Canis lupus familiaris: one gene and its partners. The protein of the gene in region 1 binds, or shares a complex with, the protein of each later gene. Links are inferred from orthologs where the notes say so. Each region holds a gene or a part of one and is shown on either strand. Other genes may lie near its edges.

Evidence for each region.
Region 2: TAF1B (region 1) and POLR1H share a complex: the UniProt entries of both Homo sapiens proteins name them as parts of the pol I pre-initiation complex. The link is inferred for Canis lupus familiaris from reciprocal best matches to the Homo sapiens genes TAF1B and POLR1H.
Region 3: TAF1B (region 1) and UBTF share a complex: the UniProt entries of both Homo sapiens proteins name them as parts of the pol I pre-initiation complex. The link is inferred for Canis lupus familiaris from reciprocal best matches to the Homo sapiens genes TAF1B and UBTF.

The regions. Positions count from the first base shown.
Region 1 is NC_049238.1:6,877,060-6,884,539, forward strand, and holds the start of TAF1B (TATA box-binding protein-associated factor RNA polymerase I subunit B), read left to right. Parts: upstream 1-3,575; 5' UTR 3,576-3,662; coding exon 3,663-3,680; intron 3,681-5,331; coding exon 5,332-5,430; intron 5,431-7,480. UniProt on the Homo sapiens protein: Component of RNA polymerase I core factor complex that acts as a GTF2B/TFIIB-like factor and plays a key role in multiple steps during transcription initiation such as pre-initiation complex (PIC) assembly and postpolymerase recruitment events in polymerase I (Pol I) transcription.
Region 2 is NC_049256.1:27,776,884-27,784,239, forward strand, and holds POLR1H (DNA-directed RNA polymerase I subunit RPA12), read left to right. Parts: upstream 1-2,637; 5' UTR 2,638-2,683; coding exon 2,684-3,074; intron 3,075-3,158; coding exon 3,159-3,259; intron 3,260-3,557; coding exon 3,558-3,667; intron 3,668-4,721; coding exon 4,722-4,746; 3' UTR 4,747-4,790; intron 4,791-5,360; 3' UTR 5,361-5,713; downstream 5,714-7,356. Other genes in the region: putative uncharacterized protein ZNRD1-AS1, read right to left, coding at 218-293, 474-697; E3 ubiquitin-protein ligase PPP1R11, read left to right, coding at 6,822-6,890. UniProt on the Homo sapiens protein: Core component of RNA polymerase I (Pol I), a DNA-dependent RNA polymerase which synthesizes ribosomal RNA precursors using the four ribonucleoside triphosphates as substrates. Can mediate Pol I proofreading of the nascent RNA transcript.
Region 3 is NC_049230.1:19,049,070-19,056,454, reverse strand, and holds the start of UBTF (nucleolar transcription factor 1), read right to left. Parts: upstream 4,472-7,385; 5' UTR 4,068-4,471; intron 3,761-4,067; exon of another isoform or gene 3,603-3,760; intron 2,374-3,602; exon of another isoform or gene 2,242-2,373; intron 1,888-2,241; exon of another isoform or gene 1,763-1,887; intron 1,108-1,762; 5' UTR 1,040-1,107; coding exon 982-1,039; intron 1-981. UniProt on the Homo sapiens protein: Recognizes the ribosomal RNA gene promoter and activates transcription mediated by RNA polymerase I (Pol I) through cooperative interactions with the transcription factor SL1/TIF-IB complex.

The DNA of each region.
Region 1 (7,480 bases):
ATGGACTTTAATTTTTACTTTTCTTCAAATATTCTTGCCATGTTTTGATGTCAAGGTCATGCTGGCCTCATAAGATGTGTTGGTAAATGTGTTAACTTTTCCCATTATCTGGAAGAGTCTGTTTTTGATGGGTACCATTTCTTTCTTAAACATTTAGTAGAATTTATCATCTTTTTTTTTTTTTAAACACTTTATTTATTTGTGAAAGACACAGAAAGAGAGGCAGAGACACAGGCAGAGGAAGAAGCCGGCTCCGTGGGAAGCCTGATGTGGGATTCCATCCCAGGATCCGGTATCATGACCTGAGCTAAAGGCAGACACTCAACCACTGAGCCACCCAGGTGCCCAGAATTTACCATCTTTAACCATATGAAACTGGGGTTTTCTTAGTGAGTTTTTTTTATACATGGAATCTTTTTTTTTTACATATAGAATTGCTCAGATTTTCTTTCTTCCATAGGCTTTTTGGGAACTTGTATTTTTCTAGGAATTTATCCATCTTATCAAAATTTCAAATTTATTGACCTAGAGTTATTGGCCCTATTACAGAATTGAGTAATGGTTAGTGCTGGGTTCTGTGTTTGTCACTTATGTGGAACCGTGGGTATAGTAGCTGCTGGTGCAAAATAGCAGAGCTGGGTCCTTGTTAAGATTTAGGCTCACCTTTATTAGGCTTGAAGGGCTAAATGTATCTTTTTCTAATGTACACATTCTTCCTTTATATGTTAATATGTTCAGTCAAATCTTGGCCCAGACTCCTGGGTCCCTTTAAAGGTTTATTATCTCTGTTTTAATTTTATTTTTGTTTTCTCTTCTTGGGGTTACCCCAGTGTTGCTCCACCATATCACCTGTATATAGCTCAACTGTTCTTCAGAAATTTACCCATGAGGTGCCTGGGTGACTCAGTTGGTTAAGTGTCTGCATTTGGCTCAGGCTGTGCTCTCTGAGTCCCAGGATCTAGCTCATCTCTGAGTAGGCTCACTGCTCAGTGGGAAGTCTCCTTCTGCCCCCAGCCCCAATACTTTCTCACTCTGTCTGTCAAATGGATAAAAAAAAATCCTAAAAAAACAAAAAACAAAAAACACATTCATGCTCACCTGCAGCATAAGGTGGAGTCCAGCTCACTGAGTGCTTCCACCACTGATCATTTCTATTACACATAAAAAATTGTGTCAATTGGACAAAAATGGCCACCTGAGCCAGAGTTTTAAGAACTGCGTACTAAAGCTTGTCTGTTAAAATCCTCCTATAAGTCTTATAGGCTATGAAAACATTTTCTTCTAAAGGGCTGACTTTGCTCTTTTAAAACACTCAATTTTCTGTGAAAAATGGCTGGAAAACTCTGTGACTCATTTCTGTGCAACCACAGTCCAAAGTCTTTTTTTAAAAAAAGATTTTAGGGATCCCTGGGTGGTGCAGTGGTTTGGCGCCTACCTTTGGCCCAGGGCGCGATCCTGGAGACCCGGGATCGAATCCCACATCGGGCTCCAGGTGCATGGAGCCTGCTTCTCCCTCTGCCTGTGTCTCTGCCTCTCTCTCTCTCTCTCTCTCTGTGACTATCATAAAAAAAAAAAAAAAGATTTTATTTATTTTTTCATGAGAGACACAGAGAGAGAGATAGAGAGAGAGACAGAGAGACAGAGGCAGAGACAGAGGGAGAAGCAGGCTCCATGCAGGGAGCCCGATGTGGGACTCGATCCCAGGACTCCAGGATCATGCCCTGGGCCTTAAGGTCTGGAGGCTTAACCACTGAGCCACCTAGGCACCCCCAGACCAAAGTCTTAAATCAAGGTATGTCATCTATTTAAACTATTTTGCATATACATGAACATCTTACAAAGTCATTCACCCAGTCAACAAATATTTATTGATCGCATCCTGTGAGCTAAGTACTGTTCCAGGCCCTGGATATATAGCAATAAACAAAAAGACAAAGATTCCTGGTCTCATATTTTAGTTCAATGCCTAAACTCTTTAGTAGCGCATTCAGTACTGTCACTTCCTGTTCTAACATTTCAACATTTTAAAATCAGGGCTGATCTAGAAAATAAAAGGCTGGGGGATCTCTGGGTGGCTTGGCGGTTTAGTGCCTGCCTTCAGCCCAGGGCATGATCCTGGAGACCCTGATAGATTCCCACCTCGGGCCCCCTGCAGGGAGCCTGCTTCTCCCTCTGCCTGTGTCTCTGCCTCTCTCTCTCCCATGAATAAATAAAATAAAATCTTTAAAAAAAAGAAAAGAAAAGGCTTATGGTCAAGCTGTTTCTAGGACAATCCTTAATGCTGTAAAGATAGGTAAGGTTTTTCAGAAAGAGTCTCAAGTCGCACAGAGGCAAGCCTGGCAAATGACATGGGTGACACAACTGGACAGAACACTTGTCTAGTGCCATGATAAAATAATGTGACCGACTGTTGCACTGGACTGGATGGCTCTTGTAGGCAGGGACTCTGTCCTCTCATTTCCCAATAGCTGGCACAGTGCCTGGCGTAGAGTGGATGTTGAATAACTGTGAAATAAATAAATAGACAAGCAAATAAGGAGTGAGTGAATAAAGAGCCAGTGTCTTTTTTTATTTTTATTTTTTTTAAGATTTTATTTATTTAATTCACGAGAGACCCAGGCAGAGGGAGCAGCAGGCTCCCTGCAGGGAGCCCGATGTGGGACTCGATCTGGGTCTCCAGGTCACGCCCTGGGCTGCAGGCAGATGCTCAACCGCTGAGCCACCCAGGCGCCGCGAAGAGCCAGTCTCTTGATGATCTCGAAAGTCTCAGGACTTTAAATACCATCGAGGCCGAGAGCATTCCCAGTCCAGACGTCACCTGGGAGCGCTCGGCTCCCTGATCAAGCTGTCCTCTCATCCTACCTGGGCCTCCTGCTTCCTCTTCTCCCCGATTCCCACGCTGTCCCCGCGCGGCCTGGCCCTGCTCAGTCGGGCTTCACCCCTCCCAGGCGCTCAGGCCGCTCAGGCCCGAGACCCTGCGGTCATCCCTGCCTCTCTCTCCTCCCGCCCGTCGGGCATCCTCGTGGCCCTTCGAAGCCCGCATCTCCAGAATGTCCGAGCTTCCCGCGGTCTCCCGCACCTTCATCCTGCGCAAGCCCCCGCGGACCTGGCCTTCTCTCCACCTCTGCCTCTGCCCCGGTCGGACTCTTCTCCCCTCGAGCGTCGGGCTGAAAGCAGGGGCCAGACGGTGTAGACTCCTCCCCCAGCTTCCAACTACCCGGGGCAGCCAGTAGCCGAGTCTGACGGCGGGGGAAACCGAGGCCCAGGGCGCCCACACGGGGCCTGCACGGGGCCCAGCTCCGCGAGCGCGCGCCTCCCTCCCGGAGCCCACGCCGCTCCCGCGCCTGTGAAAGCCCGACGGGGCGGCGGCGTCCACGCTGGGACCCGGCGGGCTCAGCGGGAGGCGCGAGCGGCCTCCTTCCGACGTGGGCTGCAGGGCGGTCGCCGGGGCGGAGGAGAGCAGCCTGGGCTGGGGCTGCAGGGCGCGCGGGGCTTGCTCCCCGCAGCGCGCGGAGACGAACCCGCAGCCCCAGGCGCCCGGAACCCCAAGCCGCGGTCTGGGTTTCCGCCCGGCGGGCCCCTTCCGGCGCTCCCGGAAGCTGCGCTCGCTGCCCGGGTAACGGGCCCGGCCGGGGGGCGGCGGCGGCGGCACCACCACCGCTATGGACCTGGAGGAGGCGGTGAGCACGGGCCGGAGCGGGGCAGGCGGAAGGCTGCGGGGCGGGGAAAGCGCTGGCGCGGCCGGGGCGGGGCGGGGGGGGGCGCGCGCTTCGGGGACAGAGGCCGGCGTTTCGGGCCCGGTGAGCGTGGGGGTGAGGGAGGGCGGGGCGTCCACGTGGGTGTGTTTCTGGAGGAGGACGGAGTTGTGGGTTTTATGGGGTGGCCACCCACGGGCCCATCCCCTCTGGACCGGGCCACCCGCAAGTTTCCTTGGACGGCGGGGTGGGCGTGGGAGAGCCGGGTCCGACGGGCTGGCTCCTGAGTCCCCCCCCCCCCCCCCCCCAGCCACCCCGCAACTGTCCCTCGGCATCCCCGCCACCGTCCGGTGATTCCAAACTCTCCAGGGTAATTTATCCAGGTGATCAGGACGCGGGCACCGCACACTTCACCGGCCTGTTGAAATAAATTCGGGTTCGGTTTTTTTTTTTTAAGATTTTATTTATTGATTGTTGTTGAAATAAATTCGGGTTCATTTTTTTTAAAGATTTCATTCATTCATTCATTCATTCATTCATTCATTCAAGACTCACAGAGAGAGAGAGAGAGAGAGAGAGAGAGGCAGAGACACAGGCAGAGGGAGCAGCAGGCTCCCTGCAGGGAGGGGCCTGATGCGAGACTGGATCCCAGGACCCCCCGGGGTCACGCCCTGAGCCACCCACCCAGGTGCCCCTCCGCATTCCTTTTTGTTGTTGTTGACACACTGCGCCAACCACTGCTCTCTTGTGCTGCGGTAAAGGAGTATTCGGCAATTAGATCAAAGAGAAGGTCAAAGACCCATCCTTTTAGGGTCTGCCTGTGTAGGTACAGAAGCGTTAGGGTGATAGAAGGCCTTACTTGTTATAGATGCTCAATAAATGTTTGTTGGATGATGGAGGCTAACGTCCGTACGTGCTGGGTTAATGAAATTAGTGACTGTATCTCACCATTAGCCCGTGTTTGCTGTGAGTAGAGATCACGTCTGTTTTGCTCACCGCTGAATCCCCGGCCCCTAGTTAAATGCCTCGTGCGTACACAGGTGATGCTCCTTATATTGCTGGATGAATAAATCGAAACTCGGAACAACCCCAATAAAAATCTGGTTCTTTTGCTGTATGTGTTTCTAGTATCATTGAGAAAGTTCCAAATGGTTTGCAGTTTTTATTTTTAAGGTTTTGTCTTTACTTAAATCTTGTCCTCTTTTTTTTTTCTCACAGCACTTTGCAGTTTTAGTAACTCATCCTTTTTTCCCATTTTACCCCTACCACCTTTTCTTCCTCTTTTTCCCCCTTCACACACTGTGTTTTAGAAACTTTTTAAATCATTTAATTCCACTTCAAACTATTCAAAAGACTGAACTATTCTCTTTGTTTATAGTTAATCTCTCGGATACATTTTTCTTTCTTTCTCTTTGTTTATAGTTAATCTCTTGGATACATTTTTCTTTCTTCACTCCCTCCCTCCTTCCCTTCCCTTCCTCCCTCCCTCCCTCCCTTCTTTCCTTCCTTCCTTCCTTCCTTTTTTTCTTTTAATCTGTAGGTTAAAATTCCAGGGAACCCTTTAAGTAGAACTGCAGGGTTTAGGTGCAGTGTGTTGAATATGGCTTGATAGTAACAGCTTTTCTATATTCTATAGAAAGAGTTCAAGGAAAGATGTACTCAGTGTGCTGCTGTCTCCTGGGGTCTTACTGATGAAGGCAAATATTATTGCACTTCTTGCCACAACGTTACAGAAGTAAGTAATATAGATCATTTATGAGTCTGCTAATGTTTTAAAAATTGCTATTTTAGCCTGATATGTAGCCTAGTTCCCAAATAATCATTGTCACTCATGTACTGCCCAAATTCCAAGAACGTAAGTAGTCTTCAAGTGTTTACACGTGAGTTAAGGAATTAGATTTAGGATGGGTTTTTGAAAAGATGTTGGGCTGCATTTATAAATAATTTCATGATTCAGACTGTGTAATATAAGGGAAAATAATTAAAATTGTACTTATAAGGTGATGCATTTCTCTTTATTTGTTAATACCTATATAAGTTTTTATGTGTTGTGGTAGCTTAGAGGTTTGGAAGATGGAATGTTGTAAAGATTGAAGACGGGAATATTGGAAATATGCTTCATTATCATTTTATCTTTGTACAGTACTTTAGAAATTACAAAGTCTTATTCATTATTTCATTTCCTCCTCATAAACACCTGTGAGATATAGTACCATGCCAATCCATGGATGGGGCAAGTAAGGCTCAGGAGTTGAATGAGATTGCCAAAGTCACACAAGTATAAAGTGTTGAGCCAGGACGTGAACCTGAGTCTTGTGACTACAGTGCTCATTTTACCCCATCACACCTGCCTCTTACACTAGAGATTGTCATACTGTCTGATATAACCTTGGTAAATGAGGCCCCCTTCACACTGGGAGTGAGTGTTAGGTCCTGTTCTAATCACCACACATTCAGGGCAATATAACCAAAATAATCAAGGGTGTGGACAGTCAGCTATTGGACAGGTAAACATGCCAGGGCTCCACTTTGGAAAAAGATTTGCTCAAAGTCTCCAAAGCCAGGAAAGAACAAATATTACATTTACCACATAGACTTAAGAAAGGCAAATTTGAGACAGATAAAAGTAACTGTGTAGACTTCTGCTTTTGGCCAAGATGGAGTAGCAGGGACTAGATTTATTTTCCTACTTTAAATTTTTTTTTTTTTTTTTTAAATTTATTTTATGATAGTCACAGAGAGAGAGAGAGAGAGAGAGGCAGAGACACAGGCAGAGGGAGAAGCAGGCTCCATGCACCGGGAGCCCGACGTGGGATTCGATCCCGGGTCTCCAGGATCGTGCCCTGGGCCAAAGGCAGGCGCCAAACCGCTGCGCCACCCAGGGATCCCTATTTTCCTACTTTAAACAACTGAAAACTTGGGCATAATATATAAAAAAACTAAAAAAAAAAAAAAAAAAAAAAAAAAATTTCCTTTGGGGAAAGTGCCTAATATACTTTGTTTCTTATACAGAGCTTTTCTTGAAACAATCATTGTTCTTCAGTAGGCAGCTGAAGTTGTTGTGCCTGCTTCATTTAAGTTACACAGAATATTAAAAAGATGCTAGCACAGTGAAATTTTGTGGATGGTGGATATTTCATTGATTATGGTGATGGTTTTGTAAAGATGTATAGATATGTATGTATTTGTATAGATACATGAATATGCATACATATACACATTAACTCATATACTTTATTTATTTTAAAGATTTTATTTATTTATTTAAGAGAGAACATGGCTGGTGGGGGGGGGGGGTTGTGGAGAGGCAGAGGGAGAAATACTCTGCTGGTCAGGCAGCCCGATGTGGGACTCAATCCCAGGACCCTGGCACCATGACCTGTGCCGAAGGCAGATAGTTAACCGACTGAGCCACTCAGGTGCCCTTGCACTTTATTTAGTTTTTAGATTTATTTATTTTCAAGAGAGAGGGAAAGAGTGTGTGGAACACTAGTGGGGGAGGGACAGAGGGAGATTCTCAAGCAGACTCCTTACTCAGCATATTGGGGCCTGATCCCATGACCCTGAGGTCATGACTTGAGCCAAAACCAAGAGTCAGACGCTCAAGTGACTGAACCACCTAGGGGCCCCAATGCATACACTTTAAATATATGCAGTTTGATCCTCTTTGCTTTGATGCATGTAAGGCACTAGCAGTTTTACCCACGGTTGTTTTTGTAGCAGCAATGCAAATGTAAAGGTAGTGAAGGAAGATTGTGTCTAATTGGACTGTTTGCCATTAGTAG
Region 2 (7,356 bases), on another chromosome or scaffold:
ATCCTGGGTCTCCAGGATCACGCCCTGGGCCCAAGGTGGTGCTAAACCGCTGAGCCACCCAGGCTGACCTAGTGTTGGGCATTTTGAACAGAATACTGTTTTGCAGGTATGGATATAGGTAAACATACCCACCAGGGAGGGGTCACCTGCACAGGGTTTTAAACCCAAGGCTACTTCTCCTAGCAGTTCCCAAGTGCACAACATGAAGATGATTTACCAGGAGTTTTTTCTCCAGTGGGGACTGTTGGTCTACGGCAATCCTAGGGTCTGGTGATGCTTTAGCCCAGGCCAAACTGTAAGATAAGAGAGCAGAGGTAGATTAGAGCGTGGGAGGCGTCAGGACATCTTCCCACACACTGACCTAACCAAACTGACTGACAAGAAGTCTGCCTCCTCCATGGGAAAGCACCGCACTACCACGGTGGAGAATCTGGGACCAGCACGTAAACCCTTCACAGAAAGTAGAAGCGCACATCTCCCGAGGACTCAACGTGAACCAGTCTGAGTCCCGAGTCTGGGGCCGGGAAGACATAGGCGGCTCCTTGCTACTGTGCTGCCCCAGCACCTCTCCATCAGACCGCTCTGCCTCCCAGGCTCTGTCTTCGGAGAGGTTTCCTGACTCCAGGGTTCGCAGTCCATCCTCCTTCTGTAGTTTCTGGGTCCGGACCCTCTCTGCCTCTATCAGCACATATAGCATCTCTGCCTTCCAGCCTTCCGTTCTGAAATTCTCTTCTTATCTGGTCACCCTGACTCTGTGTCCCTGCCTTACACTGCCACTCATCCTTCATCCCAAATCCATGAGACCATTCCCATTGAGTCCCCTGGCTTGGCACTGGTTAGTGGTCCCTCTTCTCTTGTGGGTCAGGCTGACGGCAACACAAGTGAAGACTGCCAGCCTTTCATATGTCATCCCTAGTGTACTGTGAGTTTACCGTGAGGTCGTGTTGAAGCCCCTGGGGATGCCTGGCATTTCATCTCTGTGCCCTTCAGGCTCTTTATGGCAAGAGCGTGGGCTTTGAAGCCTGACAGGGCTGTCTGAACGCTAATCACACCACCTCTGAGGTGTGGCTCTGGGTAAGTAACAATGGGTCAGTCTCCTGGTCTATAAGATGGATGTGGGAGACAAAGGTCTGCTTCTCAATCTTATAAAAAACAAACATAAACTAGATTAAAGAGCCTGGGACAGACAGTGTAAGTCCTCAATAATTGGCAATGGTCTCTCCTCCACAGATCAAGCCCAAGTCTCTGTAAAGTCTTTCCGGACTATTCTACGTAACAGTGATTTTCCCTTCTTCTGAACACAACGTTTTTTAAACATTATTCCTAAGTCACTTGAAAACCAGCCAGGGTTTCCATGGTGATACCTGTATCATTTGTAACACTTTCATGCTGAAATTTAGACTGTAAACGGGAGGTAATCTATAATTTAGATTGACAAATACGATGTGTCTCTGTTACTGGAATGAGCCTGGTATCAGTTATTGGATCTCACTGACTTCCTGCCTATGTTCCTATCTGTCCGTGGACACCTATTCTGATATTTAACAAAGGTAACCGTCCTATTACTTTTCAGAACACAACCCAGCACGGTTTGTGTTCAGCAACAGTTTCTGGAACTCATCTTCTGGTTCCCTTGTCGCTGGTATTCGAGCACCTTTCTCCTTTGCTCCTGAGGTGCCATGTCCACGTTTTTACTGAAACATCAGCGAGTCCTCCTGGAGGTGCAGACACCATAGTCCTAGGCCCTGTGTGGGTCTCTCGTGGCGGGTTCCACCGTGTCCTTCGTACCCCTTGAGGTCACAGCATCCTTTCCAACGGTGCCGCCCCAGCTCCACAGACACTTGGAAAGGCCCGGGCCTCACGACACCGGCCCATCGGGATCGCGCTGGACTCTGCGTGGAGCAGCACTGCACGGTCACGGAGTCGGGAGCAGAGTCAAAGAGGTTAACAGGCTAATTTTAACGTTCGCGGTCTAAACGGCAGACCGCCCCCTTCGAGCCGGACAGAACGACGTCCTGCGGGGACAGGCGGACGGGAGCCACGGGGGCAGCGGCTCAGAAACTCCTCGTGCCCCGCAGACGGTGGTTACTGGCGAGCGGCCGCAGCTCGGCTCCCTAGCGACCGTGAGCCTTACGCTCGGGAACGGCAACCGTGCTCGTCACTCCCCGGTGACCCGCTGGGCGCGGCGGAGGGGGACGGCCCCCAAGTCAGCCCCGGGCCTGGGCCGCCCGCCCCGCCCCGCCCCGCCCCCGGCCCTCGCCCTCATCTCCCTGGCCCGCCCGCTCCTAGAGCATGTCCTGGGCACGTCAGGCCGGCGGGGCGGAGCTGGGCCCACTGGCTCCGGGGCGGCGCGGCGGCGTTCGGGAAGCTCAGCAACATCTCCACAAGCAACGCTCCCGAGGTTGGGTCCCAGAAAATACGTATCCCCGGACTGCGCTTCTTCCTGATGGAGTGTCCGGAGGCGCAGCGGCCATTACCCGAGCTCCTATCCCGGCGTCGGCACCTCCGTCCGTCTCCCACGGCGCTCGACCCCCGCTCTGGGGCTCTCGGGGCGCCGGGCGCCGGATTGTGACGTCACGGCCAAAGGCGCCAGCGCCGCGCACAGCAGTCGGGGCGACGTATTGTGACGTCACAACCCCACAGAAGCCGGCGAGGCGGACAGCAGTCTGGGCGCCGGATTGTGATGTTACACCCAAGGGCGCCGGCGCGGCGGACTGCGGTCTGGGCGAGGGATTGTGACGTCACGACCAATGGGCGTCTGCGCGGCGGATGCTCTAGCCCGCTCCGCTCGGCGGGTGCTCTCACCTGCCCTGGAGGACCGCACTACGCCGGCCGGTCCTCCCGCGGAGCCTCGCGCGTCCAGGGAGGAGGGCTCGGTTCGCGGCCGCCGGGGTCCCTGGACGGAACCGGAGCTGCCCACCGTCGCACCCTCTGCGCCATGGACCCCGCGCCCTCCGGCTCCAGATTCCAGTCGGACCTGGACTTCTGTCCGGACTGCGGCTCCGTCCTGCCCCTGCCCGGGGCCCAGGACGCGGTCACCTGTGTGCGCTGTGGCTTCGGCGTCCCCGTGCGGGGTGAGGAGGGGGCGGGAGCGGCCGGGTTGCGGGGGGCGGCGGAGGGTCCGGGGGTGCCCGCAGCCAGCGCTTACCGCTCCGCAGACTTCGAGGGGAAGGTGGTGAGGACCCGCATCGTGTTCAACCAGGTGGGGACGGCGGTGCCCGCGCCGGTGCAGGAGGAGCCAGAGCTCCAGGGACCCGTGGTGAGTGAGTGACCCCAGCACTGACCCACAAGGAAGGCGGGGAGACATGCAGGGTTGAGTGCTGAGTCTGGGGTAACGGGTGTGCAGGAGGAGCCCGACCTCCAGCGACCCGTGGTGAGTGAGTGATGCCAACACTGATCCACAGGGAGAGCGGGAAGGGCTGCAGGGTTGAGTGCTGAGGTCTGGGGAAACAGAGGTCTTTGGAGCAGGGGTGCTGGGGAGAGCATGCAACGAGATTCCTGTAGGAAGCAGGGGTCATCCTGGCTTTCCCTGACCCCCCCCCCCCTTTGGTTGCCAGGTTGACAGGCGCTGCTCCCGATGTGGTCACGAGGGAATGGCCTACCACACCAGACAGATGCGCTCAGCTGACGAGGGGCAGACCGTCTTCTACACCTGCACCAGCTGCAGGTGTGCCCCCTCCCTGGCCCTCTGCCCTCTCCCTCTGGCCCTTAACCACACATGTCCTGTGACTTCCCTCTTGTACCCAAGAACCGGTTATTTCCTTTGGTCCTGTCCTCTTTTCAGGTAACAGGGACATTTGTGTTTTTTTTTTATTTTTGAAAAAGAACATTTTTGTTAGTTTTTTTTATAGCCAGTGAAGCGAAGCTTTTAAGCTGTTTAAAGGAGTGAGAACAGAGAGAAGGCAGGTATTTCTGGGTGGTCTGCGTGTTGAATCCTGCTGCTTGTTCCAGTGCTCTTGCTTTTATGAGAATCACCTGTGATTTCAGGAACCAGAGAGACCTGAACCATTTGAGAACTCCTTGTCTTCGGTGTTCTGTACTTTCACCACGCTTATCAAGACCTAGCTTTCAGGATCCCTGGGTGGTTCAGTGGTTTAGCACCTGCCTTCGGCCCACAGCATGATGATCCTGGAGTCCTGGGATCGAGTCCCGCATCAGGCTCCCTTCATGGAGCCTGCTTCTCCCTCTGCCTGTGTCTGTGCCTCTCTCTCTCTCTCTCTCTCTCTGTGTCTCTCATGAGTAAATAAATTTTTTTTTTTTTTAAGATTTTGTTTTTAAATAATCTCTATCCACTGTGGGGCTTGAACTCAACCCCAAGATAACAGTCGCAGGTTGTGCAGATTCATCCAGCCCGGTCATAGGGTAGCTCTATTTTTAACTTCTTGAGGAACCTCCACACTGTTTTCCAGAGTGGCTGCACCAGTTTGCATTCCCAGCAACAGTGCAAGAAGGTTCCCCACTTCTCCACATCCTTGCCAACATTTGTTGTTTCCTGACTTATTACTTTTAACCATTTTGATCTGTGTGAGATTTTATCTCATTGTCCTTTAGGTTTTTAGTCCAGGATTTTTAGTTGTCTTGAATTTGAAGGATTGTTTCGGGGAGCTAGTCATCTACAATGTCATAAATAAAACTCCCTCCTTAATTTTTCACGTGAATGTTTGTCTTATACTGCTAAAACCTCTGTGCCTAAATATAATGAGTCCTTTCTTTCTCCATAGGTTCCAGGAGAAGGAAGACTCTTGATTTTCTTTCTGGGCACCTTATCAGTTCTCCCTCTTCCTTGAAAGGTGAGGGATATTGGGTTCTTAGATGCTTTGTCTATCCTGGTTGCAGTGCTTTGCTCCCATAGACAGAGATTATCATGTGGGCATTACCATTGTCCCTACAGTACACCTACTGTAGTTGAGTTTCTTTATCAAGGTTACGTTTTTCTATATAAGCCAGACATACCTGTTATTTATAATGTCTTGTTCCAAAAGGAATTTAAATGGATTTACAGAGAATATATTCTTTCAGTAAGTATATCAGCTACAAAAAATATAGTATAAATTAGTGTATGAGAAGGAAAAGGGAAAAAGGAAACTACCAAAGACAAAAAATGGAGGCAGGAATGAGACTAATATAAAAAGTAATTATGGGCACCTGGGTGTCTCAGTGGATGAGTATCTGCCTTCACCTCAGGGTATGATCTCCCGGGTCTTGGGATTGAGTCCTACATCCAGCTCCCTATAGGGAGCCTGCTTCTGCCTATGTCTCTGCCTCTATTTCTGTCTCTCACATAAATAAATAAATCTTTTTTTTTTTTTTAAGTAATTACAAGTATTCCATGACTAAATGTATTTGGTTCCTGAGTTTAGGGAAACAAAGCAGGAGCCCAGATGCTGGGAGATAAGCAGATAACGTAACCAGATGTGTCTGACGTGTGAGCTGGAACAAGGAGAAGTCTGATACTAAGGTTTACCAGTATATGCTGAACACATTGGACATTTTGAAAATTGTATTTTTTTATTGCTGTTGACATAAATGTATATTCATTGTGATAAATTCATATATGGAAAGGTAGAGTAAAAAATGACAAGGAATCCTACTTCAGAGAGATACTTTTTTTTTTTTTTTTAAATGGGCTTTACTACGAATACAAGTTGTATCTTGCTTTTTATCACATTGAACGAAATTTTGTAGTCCGGCCACAATAAACATTCAAACTTAGTTTGGAGTCAATTTTTGCATTCCTTGGCTTGCACACTGCCCGGTCCTTTGTGTGTTCTGAGCTCTGAGACTTTCCCTGAGGTGTCTGAGCCCCGGGCGACGTAGTGGGAACTGATGGGACGGGCAGGGCGGACTTCCCTGACCACTTCTGTTAACAGGCATCGTCCAGAGTCTCCTCCCCGGTTGCTGCCGGATGCCACCGCCGGCGGCGGCCCTCACCCCTCCCGCCGCGGCTGGTGCAGGCTCCCCAAGCTTTCCCTGCAGAACCTCATGCCTGCAGCACGCACCTGGCCTCACCCGCACCTGCCAACCAGGCCCCTTTGGCCATCTCTGCCCGACAAAAAGGCAGGTGCTCCGTGGACCGCAGCTCGGCCTCTGCTGTCGGTAGCTCTTGCGGGCCACTCGGTAGCGGATTTCACCGCCACGCCCCGCAGCCTCGCTCACGTCAGCATCTCAGAGCCCGCACGTTATTCCTACACCCACGAGGCCCCCAGAGGACTGCGGGAGGCCGAGGAGGGGGAGGGGGATTCCCGGCGGCGCCTAAGGGAGCCCAGCCCTGACCTGGCGCTTGCACCTGCTGGAGCTCCGGGGCCGGTGCTCCAGTCCGGGACCAGGCGCCGCGCGGCGGGGGTCCCGGCGCCCGCACCACGCACCTGGGTAACCGCATCCCATACCCTGCGCCCAGCCAGGGACCTGCGCCCCGCCCCCGCGGCCCTCGGGGACCGCGCTCCCGCCGGGTCTCGGGCCGCGCCTGCGCAACGTCCGCTCCCCGCAGCGTCGCCTTCTCTGCGGGCTGCGGCACCTGCTCACCGTCACGTGACGGGAGAACTAGTCCGGCGGCGCATGCGTCCGGAGACCTTCGGCGCCAGGAAGGGACGGCGACGGCGGAGTGCGTCACACCCGGAAGCGGCGAGCCGGAAGTGGAGCTGGGCAGGTTACCCCGGGGGGAAGCGGAGGCCGAGGAGGAGGGGCCGAGGCGCTGGAGGGTCCTGGCTGCTCCTCCGAATCCGATCCCGATCCCGATCCCGGTCCGGTCGTCTTAGAGCTCGGAGACACCGGGAAGGCCGCTTCCTGCCCCGCCGCCCTCTGCCCTCTCCGCAGCCTCAGCCATGGCCGAGGCAGGAGCCGGGCTGAGTGAGACCGTCACGGAGACCACCGTTACCGTGACAACTGAGCCCGTGAGAAAGGCGGGGGACGGTGGCGCCCGCGGCGGGGACGGGGACGGGCCGGGGGCGGGGGCGGGGCGGGGTCAGGGCTGCGGAGGGGGCGGGCGGGGGGGGGGGGCGTGCTGGGGACTCGGAGCTGGCGCGGGAGCCTAGGGGGACCCCGGGGGCAGGGCCCAGCGGTGGTTCCGTTGCAGAAGGCGCACCACAGGCTCAGAGTCGGGGCGGGGGACCCCGGGGCGCCCCCTGGGTCGGGAAGCACCTGACGGACGGCCGCCCGTGAGCGCCCCTCGAGGACACCAGGGCATGATGTGGGAGTCCGAAGAGGTGCAGCTCGGGACCGGAGTGCGCTGGGCTGCACGCCTTGTTGAGGGCCCTGGCAGGACCGGGGCGGGGGCTGGGTGCACGGGTGCGGGCGCAAGCCCGGGAGGGTCCGGGGATCCTCACAGTGAGCCGCAGGTGAAGGTTAGGTCCTGGGCGC
Region 3 (7,385 bases), on another chromosome or scaffold:
GGAGTGTGGGCAGTAAGGAGAACCCATGCAGACATTTCTCTCTGGCACAGCTGGAAACTAACACTGGAGACATGGGCAATTTTGGGCAAGTAAGAAAAATGGAATGGAAATGGAAGAACCATACAGGGCAGCTGAGAGGCAAGACAAGCAGACGAGCAAAGGTTCTCAGGGCCCTGGCTCCAGGGAGAACCCCCAGAATTCTGAGTTGTCTTCTGGGTCCAACTCCCCATGGAGGCAAAAAAAAGGGGGAGGGGGGGTCTGAACCAGCTATTTCCAGCCACTGAACTAGCCTCAGCAGGCCTCTCTGGAGGGTGGCTACCCTGGAAGGTAAGTTAGGAGAACAACCAGGACTAGGAGTCAAAAGGGCTCTTCATTTGCATTTGCATCTGGTAACCAGGGTCAAGGTTGCCACAGGGTGGGTCACATGGACCAATAATCCTCAGTCCTCTCAGCGTCCCAGTCAGGGCCAGATGCTCAGCTTCATCCAACCCCCTGCCCCCATCGGCACAGGATCTCTCCTGGATGGGGTAGGATCTAGTTATGGACCTCCTATGGCTTGGAGCCTCAAACCACCAAAATATCCTGTCTCCACCTGCCTCACCCAAAACCTTGTCCTCTGAATAACAATAAAACACCTGAAAAGCCTTGCCAATCCCTCCCTTCTCCCCCTCCCCCCCATTGCTCATCCTTCCTCCCATTCCAGGACTCTGGGTGAGGAAAGGACAAACTCTGGCCAGATGGGAATCCCAGAATGAAGGCTCCCATAAGACTCTCTCTCTAAGTGGGAGAATGAAGTGTGGAAAATATAGTTTATAGCCTCAAGGCCAAATAACTTGGGTTTAGCCAAACTTGACTCATAAAACTGAAGATACCCCCCTCACCTCGATTCAGAGAACAGGGACTGTCTAACCCCTTTCGAAGGAGAGGGGGTCCCGCAAACAACCATGTGGGAAAAGAGGACGTAAGTTAAAGTGCTCCTACCTTGGCCTTTGGGGGCGGCCATTTCCAGGTCTGTGGGGCAGTCAGCTTCTCCGTTCATTCTTTAGCCGTCCAGCCTCCTCCTTGGGTCGTGCTGGCCGGGCAACCCGCGGTCAAAACCACCTCACCCTTTAGAAGAGACACCAGTCCCCACTCAGGCGGGATGCGAGGTGAGGGACTTTCTATTCCTCCCTCCCCCAAGGGGGAGGGGGGCACAAGTCCGCACTTTAACGGAGACCCTGCCAAGACCCTAGTAGACCTAAAGGGTCTGTGGGTGTGGGAGTGCGCCCCCCCGCGCCCCTGCAGCCCGGCTCCACCGCGTGCGCCCTCCCCTGCCCACGCGAGAGACTGCTCCCAGCTCCCGCGTGCAGCGAGCGCCCGCCCTCCGCCCTCCTTCCCCCACCCGGGCCAAAAAAAAAAAAAAAAAAAAAAAAAAATCTCCTCCTCCTCTGTGCGCCCGCCCCGGGGAGGCCCCAGGCTGGAGGGCGGGGGAGGAGGAAGGGCGGGTAAAGGGCGCGCGCGGCCGCGGAAGCGGGCGCGCGCCGCAGTCTCCTCCTCCCGCCTCCCCCCGGCCGGTTCCCCCCGCCTCCGCAACCCGGCGGGGACCCGGACGCAGCGCAGCCGCCACCGGCCCCGGAGCGTAGCGGCCGCACCGCCCCCGGGGACCGGATCCGGATTCCCGCCGCCCCCCCTCTCGGGCTCCCGACGCCGTCCCCGCCCGCCTGGGCGGGTGAGCAGCCGGAGAGAAGCGGCCTAGCCTGCCCCCCGCCCCCGAGCCACCCACCCCGGCCGGAGGCGCCGCCACCGCCCAGCCACCCCGACGCACACGGAGGAGCCCGCCGCAGAGGCGCGACCACGGCGGGAACCGCCGCCTCCTCCCCCGAGCTTGCGGCCCAGCCCCGCCGGCGCCCCCGCCCCGGCCTCCGGGGAGCTGAGCCAAGGAGAGGGCGGGAGGACGGCGGCCGGGAGGCGGGGGCGCAGCGCTCACCGGCCCCGCCGCCCCCTCCGGCGGCCGGCGAGAACTGCGCCTGCCGGCTCGGAGAAGCGCGGGCTCCTGTGCCCGCGGCCGGGGCTCGGCTCGGGCCTCGCTTCCTGCCCTCCCCTCCCCCGGCTCTCGGCGTCCTCTCCAATGCCCTGATCCTCTTTCGTCCAGTCCCCTGCCTGGAGGGCGGCCCGGGTCTCCCCCGGCGTCTACGGCACCCGCGGTTCGCTCCCCGCCGCCCGGCCCCGACCCCGGCGCGCGTCCTCAGCCGCCTCGGTTACCCGGCGCAGCGCGGCCTCCGGGCTTCCCGCTCCGGCGGCTCCCTCCCCGGCTCTGAGCGGCGGCGCCCTCCCCCGCTCGGCCGGGCACAGCCGCAGCTCCCTCCCGCGGCGGCAGCGGCTCCTCCTCCGGGCGCGGCGGCGGCGGCGCTGGGGCGGCGGCTGCTGCTGTGGCGGCGGCGGCGGCTGTGGCTGCTGCTGCCTGCTGCTCCTCGCGGCGAAAAGCACAAAGCACAGCGCCCTCCGCCTGCAGGCAGCCCGCCCGCCGCCCGCCCGCCGGCCCCGGCCTCAGCTCGCACACCCCCCGCCGCCGCCGCAGCCTCCGCCGCCGGAGCGGGGAGGAGGAGGGAGAAGGGAGGAGGAGGAGCGGGAGGGGGGGCGGGAGAAGCGGGGCAGCGAGCGCGTCCTTCCCCGTAGAGCGCACACCGACCCCCGGGGAGCGAGCGCCAGCCCGCCCGCCTCGCCGGCTCCGCTCCCTCCCACAGCCTGCCCGGGCGGGCTCCGCGGGGGGCAGCTGGGAGGAGGGGCGGGAGCTGGGGGGACCCGGGCGGCCGAGGCGGAGGGAAGGAAGGAGGGGAGGGGGGTGGTGGTAGTGGTGGTGGTGGTGGTGGTGGCGGCGGTGGCGGCGGCGGCGGCGGCGGCGGCGGCTGCTGCTGCTGCCGGGGAGGGGGGGCCGGGGCAGGGAGACACGCAGCCGCCCGGATGGCGGCGGGGCTCGGAGCCGAGGCGGGCGGGCGGGCGCCGAGAGCGACCTCGCCAGACCCGCGGGGGAACTAGCAGGCTCGGCCGGCGCGGGAGGGAGGGCGCGAGGCGCGGCCGCCAGAGACGGTGCCCGGAGGGCCCCCCGGCGGCCGGGGAGGCTGAGGGGGTGCCCGCAGCCCTGCTTCGGAGCTCTCCCCCAAGTCCTCCCAGCTAAGATTCGGGTTTCCACGGCAGTCCTCACCCGCTCCCTTCTCCCGCCTCCTGGAGCGGGCGCTCCGCGCCCACCCTCATCCCCGGAGCGTGGCCACCGGCTTGGGGCGCACGCACGCCCATCCCGGCGCCAGGCTTCGGCGCCTACCTCGCGGTCCCCTTGCTTCCGAACAGCACACACACGAAACTTAAAAAAAAAAAAAAAAAAAAAAAAACCGTACAAAATGCCCTGCCTGCAAATTAAAAAAAAAAAAAAAAGAAGTCCCCTTTGCTCCTTTACACCCCGGAAACGGCGAGGGGGCGATGGGGTCCGGCGGAGGAGCTGCTCTGGGAGCCGGTTCAATCCAGCCCGGCATGGCTCCCCAGGCCTGCCCGGGCGCATGGAGATCGGCGCCGCCGCCACTCGCAGCAACCCCTCTCCCCCGAAATCCGCGGAGCCCGGGCTCACTTACCGAGCGTGTGAATGGGAGCGCGGGCCAGGGGCGCCTAGGGGTGCGGCGGGCCGAAGAGCGGAGCCGCAGCTCCGCCGCAGCCGACGCCGGGGCAGCGAGTCGCCAGACAAAGCCCGAGATGGCGAAGCGGAGCGACGGCTAATGGCGAGCCCCACGCGCCGCGCTCCGCCCGCCCCGCTCCGCCCGCCCGCCCGCCCGCCTCGGCGCAGCGCAGCGCCGCTCCGAGCGCTCGCCCGTCAGAGCCGCCTCGGCGCCGCCGCCTCCCGGGCCACCCCGGCCTCGCCTGGCCCCTCCGCCTCCTCCGGGCCACTCAGCCTCACCCCCTTCCCTCCCACCGCGATGGGGGCTGCACGAAAATAAAAAAAGAAAAAGAAAAAAATGCTTTTCTTTCTTTTTTTTGGTGGGGGGGCAGGGCGGGCGTGTTGAGACTTTTGGGGTTTTTTTTTGCCCCCAGCTCGCACTCACCTGCGGAGCCGCCGGGAGGGCTGGGGGTGGGGGCGCGCGGGGCTGGAGCCGGCGAGCGCGGGTTGAAAGCTAGCCAAGCTCTGCAGCGCCCGACCCGGGCGTATACGCCGCCGCCAGTCCCCGCAGAGAAATCGTCCTCCTACCCCCGCCTCCATCGCTCTGCGTTTCTCTTCCAATCAGCCGGTCGCTTGGCGGCTCCTCCATTCTCCGGCCAAGCCCGCTGCCTAGAGCGAGCTCCACTCCTCCATCTGCTAGCCCGGTTCCTGGCTCCCCTGCCGGGGCCGGCGAAGCGACGTAGGGCCGGAGGGGGATTTGCGAGGGAACCTGCCTGCTTCCCGCTCCCATTGCTCCCTCCCCGCTGCCTCCTGCCTCCTGCTTCTCTCCTGCGTCTTTCCAACTCTCCCCTGTCGCCACTGGTGTGTGTCTGAGTGTGTGCGCGGCTTTTTTTTTTTTTTTTTTTTTTTTTTATTGCTCTTTGCTTTTGCAACCCTGAAGCCAAAGCGAGGGGGTGGGGGATAAAGGAGGGGGGGGGGTTACAAAAAAAAAAAAGTAAGAAGCTCTTAGATTTGCAACACATTGAAAAACCGGGGGAGCACCCCGCCTCGCCGGATCTCGGCTCCCCGCGAGGGCCTTCCGGGTTTTAGAGCGAGCCTCTCGTTGTTCTCAACGCCCCTCACCTCCTCCGGGTTTAGGATCCGAGGTGTCCGATCAAAAAGTTCTCCCCTTGGGCCGTAGCAAGGGGTGTCAGGGTGGGAATTAGGGGGATTTCTCAAGAAGCAGTAGCCTCCCCCCACCCCCCACCCCGGTTTCGGTAGTTGGGCCGGGGTTGGGGCGGAGAGCGTGATCCCGGTGGGTCTGCGCCAGGAGCTTCCGGGGCGAAGCGGGAGCCAGGAGACCGCGCTTCGCGCATCTCCCCCTCGGTCTCTGCCTCCAGTCCCCTGCCAGCTCCCCCTTTAATTTTTTTTTTTTTTTTCCTCTCCTTTAATCTAATTTCTTCCAACTCCACCTTTGTTGTTACCGGCGTCACGCCCGGACCAGCCAATCCCCGCCATGCAATCAGCTTGTCAAAAAGGCTCGGCCAGCCCTGGGAAAGCAGGCCGCGGGCGCTGGGCCCCCTCCTTCCCCCAGCGGCGGCGGGGAGCCGCGAGGGGAGCCTGGCACCCGGGCCCCGCCGCCCGAGCCGCCGCGGGGCAGCCTTCGCCCGGGCCTGCGGCACTCCGCCGTCCTGCGGCTCCGGGGGCGAGAGGCCGGGGCGGGGACCGCCATCCGCCCTCCCGGGGCTGCCGGCTGCGGTCGTCGGTCTCTGCCTCCCCTCTTCCGAGGCAGCAGGGTTGTCAGGACGCAGGGAGCCGGAAGACGAAGAGCGCCCGCTTCCCACAGGCGAGCCTGCGGTCTGGGCCGCCGCTGCCCGCGCAGCGCCATCGCGCCGGGCTCCGGGGCTCCCGGGCTGCCCGCCTCCCGCACCGACTCTGCGGACTGCCCGCACCGCGGCCAGCCGGGGCGCCGGCCCCTCCGGACTCTCCGCTGGCACACAGCCTTCTCCATCCTCACTCAGCGGCCTCCCTGCCGCTGTAATTCCTCTTGTCTCCTGGGAGAAATGAGATTCCTTTCCCAGGACTTCCACAGCCCACATCTGCCACGTCTTACAAACAGGGAGGAAAACCTTGTCAAGATCTGGTGTGACCGGATTTTTGAGTGGGCAGGGCACGTAGGAGAGGCCGGTTGACCTTGTTGCTAATGAAGCTTCAGCTCATGGCCCCTCATTTGCGGGGCCTTGTAGTGCCCTGTTCTTAATTTTATTTCATTGTTGGGTATTATTTTTGTTAAAGACCCACACATACACACATTGTACAGCTCAAGTCTGCACAAATCCAGCTCTGCCCTTGGAGCCTACTCAGAGCATTTTGTGTAGGATCAAACCACCTCACACTGTACTTAGAAAACGGACTGACTTTCGTATGTGTGTTTTAAGATTTTATTTATTCATGAGAGACACAGAGAGAGGCAGAGACATAGGCAGAGGGAGAAGCAGGCTCCCTGTGGGGAGCCCCATGCAGGACTGGATCCCAAGACCCCCAAGATCAGGACATGCGCCAAAGGCTCAACCACTGAGCCACCCAGGTGCCTCCTGACTTTCTTGTTTTGTCTGGGAAAGAGCAAAGGGTTTAGAGTCAGAAGTCACAGCTCCCAGCTTCTCAGCTTCCCCACCCTCTTAAGCAGTGTGTGTTTGATCACATCTCTTAACCTCATCTGCTGATACTGTTTCCTTGTCTATAAAATGAGAATAGCAAACCTGCTTTCTCTGCTTTCTTCCCCAGGGGTTGGAGAGTCACCCGAGATGATGTATATAAACTGTAGGTGGAATGCTCCACAATGTCACTTGCCACAACTGAGAAACTTGGATCCCAAGAAAGGCCCAAGTCTTTTACACACAGATCTAGAATCCAGGTGTCCTGGCTCCTGGCCCTGAGCTTCTTGGCTGGGCCAAGGGGCCTTTCGGTAAAGTGCTCTGGAATAAAACAGGATGAACATGAATCATAAAAATGATTATTATTGATTTTTCATTCCTTGGGCAGCAAAAAAAAAAAAAAAAAAAAAACCCATCTGGCACTCTTCTCACTTGGAAACCAACTGCCTTGTTTTACATCTATTGTGTCTCTCTGGTGAGGTCAAGAGTCTAGGACTTGGGACATGGGCCAGACTCTGAGGGAATCTGCCCTTGGTCCTTCTTCTTTGCCCCCTCTCCTAATTTACCTTCCCTCCCTTCCAGTTTTCCACCCTGTACCTTGACACAAAGCCTTAGCCTTCCATACCTCCAGCCAGGCTGGTGACAAGGCATAATCCTAGCTACACACTCTCCACTTGGCCCCAGCACTTCTCTGGGTTGCCAGTATCCCAGCAGGAGCTCACATCAAACCCCTAGTGTGCCTGGAATGCGTTAACCAAAGTGTAGTGTTTGAATTCCTTGTGTACGTGAAGTAATTTTATTTATTTATTTATTTAATTTATTTCGTGGTATACAGATGAACATTATTTTCAAACATGTGTCCTTTAATGTGTATTGGAAATGTTCTGCTTTTTATTTTTATTTTTTATTTTATTAGTTTTTAAAGACTTTATTTATTTATTCATGAGAGACAGAGAGAGAGCCAGAGACATAGGCAGAGGCTGAGGCAGAAGCAGGCTCCCCACTGGGACTCCATCCCAGGACCCTGGGATCACAATCTGAGCTAAAGGCAGATGCTCAACCACTGAGCCACCCAGGTGCCCCTAAATGTTCTGTTTTTTAATGTTTATTCAAGATAATGACATAAAGAT